Ovis aries: one gene and its partner. The protein of the gene in region 1 interacts with the protein of each later gene in a pairwise test. Links are inferred from orthologs where the notes say so. Each region holds a gene or a part of one and is shown on either strand. Other genes may lie near its edges. The genes, in order: DHX15 and RBM5.

Region 1 (3,915 bases):
AAAACTGCAAGGCTGCCTGATAGTCAACAAATTTAACTTTTAAAATTATTAAATGGGGTGGGGGTGGGAATCCCAAGCACTTATAAACACTGTAAACTCACTGCTAGATGAAGTTCTATGAGAAATGACATTCAAGTGACATAGTAATTACTATACAAATGCCCCACCAAAACATCTCAGAACTGGAGTTTTATTTCAAAGATGAACTCTCCTTCATCTACAGGTAGATGTCATTTATAATACCCAGGAGAATCATAAGTTCACCATGAAAGACCTGAAAAGTTCATATTTTTACTAAAGATGCCAGATTTACAAGAAAAAGGGCGCAAATCCATGTCCCTATCATGGGACCACTAATCCCAAGCACTTGAATGGTGCACATATATCATAACATAAGTGAATTCATTTATTGTTTTCCAATTCAACTCTGAGAGAGAGATTAAGATGCTAAGCTGCACCTTAGCCAGATGACAAGCAACTTACTTTTGCTTCACAGGAACAAAGAAGCAAGTGTTCCCTACTTCACTAACCCAATATACACGTCACTAAAACAGGCTGTAATGACTCTGAACTAATCATAGTCTGTGTGCTGTATTGGAAAATGCAAGAAGCAAACTGAAAATCAAAAGATCAAGGTTCTAAATTCAGCTGTAAACCGAAAGGTTGCACAAGCCACCTTAACAACTCTGGGTCTCCATTCCTCATCCCTTGAATCCCTTGAGTGTGAACAATCATACTCTCCTCTTTCAAGTGACTTCCAGGTCTAAAGAGTTTGTAAAATTTTGATGTGTGTTATGAGGGGGCGGGGTGAGGGTCCACTGCCGAAAACGACAAAACTGACATAAACACTGGAAACTAAAAAATTTACAAGATTAAAATCTTACATACTTATACTTTCCGTATTCAACACATGAAAAGATATCAAAAAGTACACCCTATCCTGGCTTATACTCCCCAGACACCTCAATCAACCCAAAGGAAGGGAGAGAAAAGAGAAATTCAAAAAAGTTATACAGACTTGACACAGCGATTCTGCACAAGTATACACACAGTACTATGCAAAATTATGCAAAGTATTGAAGGTATCCAGACTTTCAAGTCTCTTGCCTGAATTATTCGAATAAATCTCTGTACATCAGGGAATAAAGTACACACAGAACAAGAACTTATTTTCGTGCAATTGCGAAAGTCAATTGTTAAATTTCTCTGCATCTTGAAAAAAAGGCCGAGTAGGAAGAAATCGGAAAACACCTGTGTATTTCAACTCCCAAGCAATCTCCCCAAGGGCGACATTTTGCCGTTTTAATACCAGACACTTTTGAAAAGGATCTTCTTGTTTCAAAAGCTACTTATGAATGAGGGCGGGGAAGAGGGACAGAAAACAAGAACTCACAGGAAAAAGAGAGAGACTATCTTCTAATATCTATCCCAGGGATAACCCTGTAACTACTGTTTCGGCCAAAGCAGGAAATAAAGGAGATGGCGGGAGCGTGGGCACAGAGCGGAAGTTTGCCTTGTACCTACTTTGAAGTGTTTGAATGGACCGAGGCACGCGCTCTCCCGCCAAAGTATAAACTCAGCGGCCCCAAATCACCAGCTGCTACCCAAAAGGTATATTCCACAGTTTTCTTTTCTCACGGATGGCCCTCTACTCTCCCATCCCCCGGTAACTCCTCGTCTGCACGCCTCACTCAACTTCCCCCACCCCCGCCTACACCAGAATCCACGCGCTTCTCTCACTTTTCGGCCTCCACTTCTCCCCTTGCTGGGCACTCAGCCTCCCGCCAAGGCCGTCTCCCAGACCCCGCTGCCCGAGAAGTACCTAGTGCCCTTGGAGGCGACTACTCCTGCCGCGCCCTCCCCCACTCTCTCCTCCGGATCCAGGCCTTACCGGGAGCCCAGACCACGAGGTCCGCGGTTCCCTCCCGTCCGCTCCCCTCGAAGTGACTCTCGCTCGACTCCGCCCGGGGAGGAGGCGCCCCAGTGACCACGCCAGGCCTCTCCGCTCTCTCCACTGGGCCGGGCGGCGGCCGCGCCACTCAGCTCCCCCGCGCCCTTGCCGGGCCGAACGCCGGGAGTGGCACCGCTCTCCCGCGCCCCGCCGCCAATGACCCGAGCCGAAAGCGAAACAAAGCGTCGGGCCCCGGGGTCCGCTCGGCCTGGCCCTCCCTGGCCCGTCCGCCGCCGGGACCCCAACAAAGCCCGAGCCCTTGCCTCGCGCCCCCGGCCTGGCTTACCCATCGGTCCCCGCACGCTTCTTGCCGGAGGGGTAGTCCTCCCCCAGGTCCAACCGGTGTCGCTTAGACATTTTCGAACTCTTCGAGCAGGCGGTTATGAAGGAAGAAAAAAAAGAAACCCTCGCGGCTCTATCCGCGCAGTCGAGGGCACCTTCTAAACTCCGGAGGACCCCCACCCCTCCCGCTACAACAGCCTACACCGTGCGGCCGGAACCAGGAGCTAAAATGGCGGCGGCGACGAGGGCTGGGCCTGCGCGCGCGCTTCCGCGGTATGATATGCGTGCGTGCGTCTGTAGAGCGCGCGCACGCAGCGGAGGCGGGAACTCCAGCCCCGCCCGCTGCCTCGCAGGCCCGCCCTTATTCCTCCGTGCCTGGCTTCTTCTTGCCACCACTTTCCGCCCTCTTGGTGGGTGCTAGGCGGGTTGAGCCTTTGGGTCGTTCATGCCCTTCTGATTTTGGAAACTGAGAAAAGAGAAAGTCTAATGCTGAGTAGGTGATTCTATGCATTACCCTGGCATTAGGGGGGGGCAGGGCTAGGACTGGAACCCAATTATAACTCCAGGTCTGGAACTTGAAACTGCTGAGCTCAGCTGCCTTGAGGAAACTGAAGTGAGAAAATGTCAAACTTACGGTAATCAGTTTTGCCTTCAAAAAAAAGAAAAAAATTGTATCTGGGTATAGTTGATTTAACATTTTGTCTTGAAAAAGAAAAAGAAAGAAAAGGACAATATGCAGTCTATTGATGTTTTTACTGGAATAGGGAAAGTTGGCAAAAAAGGCGTAACTTTTTCCTGCATGCCTGTTATGTGCTTCCAAGGGATTCCTGCCCACAGTGATAGATATAATGGTCATCTGAATTAAATTCACCCATTCCAGTCCATTTGAGTTCAATTCAGTCGCTCAGCTGAGTCCGACTCACGGGGACCCCATGAATTGCAGGACGCCAGGCCTCCCTGTCCATCACCAACTCCCGGAGTTCACTCAGACTCACATCCATGGAGTCAGTGATGCCATCCAGCCATCTCATCCTCTGTTGTCCCATTCTCCTCCTACCCTCAATCCCTCCCAGCGTCAGAGTCTTTTCCAATAAGTCAACTCTTCACATGAGGTGGCCAAAGTACTGGAGTTTCAGCTTTAGCATCATTCCTTCCAAAAGAAATCCCAGGGCTGATCTCCTTCAGAATGGACTGGTTGGATCTCCTTGCAGTCCAAGGGACTCTCAAGAGTCTTCCCCAACACCACAGTTCAAAAGCATCAATTCTTCGACGCTCAGCTTTCTTCACAGTCCAACTCTCACACATCCATACATGACCACTGGACAAACCATAGCCTTGACTAGACATACCTTAGTCGGCAAAGTAATGTCTCTGCTTTTGAATATGCTATGTAGGTTGGTCATAACTTTTCTTCCAAGGAGTAAGCGTCTTTTAATTTCATGGCTGCAATCACCATCTGCAGTGATTTTGGAGCCCAGAAAAATAAAGTCTGACACTGTTTCCACTGTTTCCCCATCTATTTCCCATGAAGTGATGGGACCAGATGCCATGATCTTCGTTTTCTGAATGTTGAGCTTTAAGCCAACTTTTTCACTCTCCTCTTTCCCTTTCATCAAGAGGCTTTTTAGTTCCTCTTCACTTTCTGCCATAAGGGTGGTGTCATATGCATATCTGAGGCTATT
Region 2 (3,815 bases), on another chromosome or scaffold:
GCCTGGAGAATCCCCATGGACTGAGGAGCCTGGTGGGCTACAGTCCATGGGGCTGCAGAGAGTTAGATACTACTGAAGCGACCAAGCACACACAGTACTACACTAATTACTGGCTGAGTCTGGGGATGTGGAACTACCAGTAGAGAGGGCTGGCTGTAAAGTTATACACAGATGTTCTATTGCGTGGCGGGAGTGGGGTCAGCACCCCCTCATCCCCCTGCATTCAAGGGTCAGATATACTGGAAACCTCCCAAAATGGGTTTGTTTGTACTTGAATCTGCTTTGAAAGGCATTGGTGGTAGAAATGCATGTCTCTGTCATTTGTCTCGTTCACCTGCAGCAATCATACTTCGAAACATAGCTCCACACACTGTGGTGGATTCCATCATGACAGCACTGTCTCCCTACGCGTCCTTAGCTGTCAATAACATTCGCCTCATAAAAGACAAACAGACCCAGCAGAACAGAGGCTTCGCGTTTGTGCAGCTGTCTTCTGCAATGGTGAGATGTTCATTGAATCTTTCCTTTTAAAAGAAACTGAGATAAGAGGCAAATGTAGTTCATCCAGTTGTGATGCTACCTACGTCTAATGTTCTTGGAGCCCAAAGTTCAAGACTTAAGTAATGATAGTTATTGCAGTGCTAAATTATAGGCCGATGGCTTTAGTAAGTGGTGAAAATACCATTGGTATACCTGTAGATAACTGGCTGAACTGAAGTCTGAGCCACAATTTAGTCTTTTTTCATGCTTTTAGATTGACCTAGCACTGGCTCCTTTAATAATACTAGATACCTTGAAAGAGGGCTTTTTAAAATTTCTCACGATTTCATATCCACAGATAATAATGAATTGCCTTTTTTTTTTTTTTAATTTCTTTGACTAGGATAGGTGGTAGATATTTTCAGTTGCATGACAAAAATCACAAAATTGTTTTTCTTCACATTCTCCTGCAGGATGCTTCTCAGCTGCTGCAGATACTACAGAGTCTCCATCCTCCTTTGAAAATTGATGGCAAAACTATTGGGGTTGATTTTGCAAAAAGTGCCAGAAAGTGAGTGGCTTCATTGCCCTTACTTCAAACCGCTGCATCTGCATGCTTGTCCGAGAATGCGCTGCTAACTGCACTCGAAGCCCATGTTCTCTGTACTGCGATGGAATCCTTCCTAATTGGCTGGGAAGGATGCACTTGTCTTCTTAGCACTTATTCCCTCCTATCCTCAATACCAATTGCCAGAAAGCTTGAGAGCAGGACAAAACAGACTTGGTAGATGGGTTGAGAATATGTGCTATGCAAACTGCTTCAGAATGGTGCAAACCCATCTGGAAATAATTCTTTCCTTCCACAACAGCATGCTAATACAGCTTCATGTATGTAGAGCTTCATTCTAGTGATGTAAATTTCCCATTTCTAGTATCATTGCCCATCAAGTAGACACCTTATTAAATAGAAGAGTACAAAAGAAAGCAGCTATACTACAGGGACACATGCCCACTAAGGGCTTTGCCTTTGGAAACCCTTCCTCACTCTGAAATGTGGTGTTGCTGGCATTGGAGACCTTCCTGTAAAGTCTGGAGTGGATTACTGTTTTCTGGGTAGCGTGGGGTTAAGTGATAGGGAAGCATAGTGGTATAAAGTCACATGGTTGGATTTTTGTGGTTTCAGAGACTTGGTCCTACCAGATGGTAACAGGGTCAGCGCCTTCTCCGTGGCTAGTACAGCCATTGCTGCTGCTCAGTGGTCATCCACCCAGGTAAAGGGAAGGATCTTTTTGCTCCAGGTAGTGTGGTGGTGGTGCCCAGATTCATAGAAGTCAGCTCTGTGATTGTGCTTGCCTTAGAAGCTCTGCAAGGACATTTGAAGACCTCAGTGTGCACTAAGTCTGTCTGTGTTTCCTCTTCTTTTGACATTGTAGTCTCAGAGTGGTGAAGGAGGCAGTGTGGACTACAGTTACCTGCAGCCAGGCCAAGATGGCTATGCCCAGTATGCTCAGGTGGGTAGACTGGACCATTATCTGACTTCTGGTCTCCAGAGTATGTCCAAGAATGGCAGCTTTAATGGTGGACTCTTCTTCAGTACTCACAGGATTACCAACAGTTTTATCAGCAACAAGCTGGAGGATTAGAATCCGATGCATCATCTGCATCAGGTAATAGATTTCATATTCTTTTTATCTCCTGTTTAAGCAAATACAGTTGAGGACATAGAGCTAGATGTTCTCATTAGATCCAAATAAATCTAGGAGAGCCATTTCCCTGTAAAACGGGGGATTGGGCACTTTCAGGGATGTCACCATGTACCTAAGCTTCTGGGGCGATATTGGCATTGCTTGTGCAGTGGGCTTCCCTGGTGGCTCAGATGGTAAGAAGCCACCTGCAATGCAGAAGACATGGATTTGATCCCTGCATCAGGAAGATTCCCTGGAGAAGGGAATGGCTTCTCAACTCCAGCATTCTTGCCTGGAGAATTCCACGGACAGAGGAGCCTGGTGGTCTCGAGTCCATGGTGTCACAAAAGTCGGACAGGACTGAGCGACTAACACTTGTGCATATCAGGAGCTGATACAAAGCTCTTAGAGACTATGCCATCATGAGTGTTCATTCTTGAATTGAATTCAGTATTTTCCCTCTCTGTGCTGTTCGCAATTGTGGGTGCCCATGTAAGTTCAGTTGAGCAGTTTCTTGTCCAGACATCAATTAGAAGGGTCACTCTTAAAAGCTATTGCTCTAGTTTTTGTTCCAGTGTTACAAAGGTGTGACAATTAAGTCTATTTTCAACCCCAGAGCAGATGTGGAAACCTTTTTCCCCTTCTTAGCCATCATACAGAATGTCTGACTTTGTGTATCACATTCTAGTAGGATTATATAAATGAGAATATCATAGGTTAAAGAGTACTTACTGGGAATTAGGTGGTTAAGAACTGACATATACAAAGACGGACTCTAGATTGGGCATTCCGGGTGAGGATGTTTGGTGTAAAGTTCAGTGCCTTGGCTGTTGTAACTCCGGTGTTTATCATCAGGCACAGCGGTGACCACGACCTCAGCGGCTGTTGTATCCCAGAGTCCCCAGCTGTATAATCAGACCTCCAACCCACCCGGCTCTCCGGTAATCCTGTCATCTTAGATATAGAACTGGTGATTGTTGGGGAAACTGTTGCTGTACAAGTACTACCTTTTCTCACTGTGTAAGCCAGGATTGACTGATACATACACATTCCAACTTTACTTCTTTCTGTCTAATCATATTATGTACTGAAATAATTTTGTGTCTGTATTTTAAATGCAAGATTCCACATAGGGTCTATTTATACTGTGCATGCTTCGGCTTGACCTTTAGGAAGACAGTTGTCAGCATGTGTTTTGCTCAAGGATTGCCCTAGACCATTGCTACAGTGGGTCTGTCAGGGGGCCCTTCCTGCTGGATGATTGCAGTGATTTAGTTCTCTTGAGAGGCTTTACAGTTGAAACTATATTGAAGCTGCTGTTCTTTCCAGACTGAGGAAGCACAGCCTAGCACTAGCACAAGTACACAGGCCCCAGCCGCTTCCCCTACTGGTGTAGTTCCTGGTACCAAATATGGTAAGCCAAACCTCATGGGGCTGTTGACAGTTGGAAGGTCCTAGTTGTTGATTTTGTTTAATAAGCGCTCCTCTCCCTTTGTGGGTATCAGCGGGACACGTGGGGATATGAGAGAAGACGACCTTCTGCATCTCAGTGGCTTAAAATTGGAAGTAAAGCCAGTCTTTTCCCTGGAATGACTGTGTGCTGGGTTTTGTTTTTGCAGCAGTGCCTGACACATCCACGTATCAGTATGA

Evidence for each region.
Region 2: the proteins of DHX15 (region 1) and RBM5 interact in binary tests that used the Homo sapiens proteins (3 or more experiments, as listed by UniProt). The link is inferred for Ovis aries from reciprocal best matches to the Homo sapiens genes DHX15 and RBM5.

The regions. Positions count from the first base shown.
Region 1 is NC_056059.1:44,755,531-44,759,445, forward strand, and holds the start of DHX15 (ATP-dependent RNA helicase DHX15), read right to left. Parts: upstream 2,471-3,915; 5' UTR 2,309-2,470; coding exon 2,238-2,308; intron 1-2,237.
Region 2 is NC_056072.1:50,279,173-50,282,987, reverse strand, and holds part of RBM5 (RNA-binding protein 5), read left to right. Parts: intron 1-340; coding exon 341-501; intron 502-953; coding exon 954-1,051; intron 1,052-1,663; coding exon 1,664-1,751; intron 1,752-1,913; coding exon 1,914-1,991; intron 1,992-2,074; coding exon 2,075-2,147; intron 2,148-3,020; coding exon 3,021-3,106; intron 3,107-3,494; coding exon 3,495-3,579; intron 3,580-3,784; coding exon 3,785-3,815. UniProt on the Homo sapiens protein: Component of the spliceosome A complex. Binds to ssRNA containing the consensus sequence 5'-AGGUAA-3'. Regulates alternative splicing of a number of mRNAs.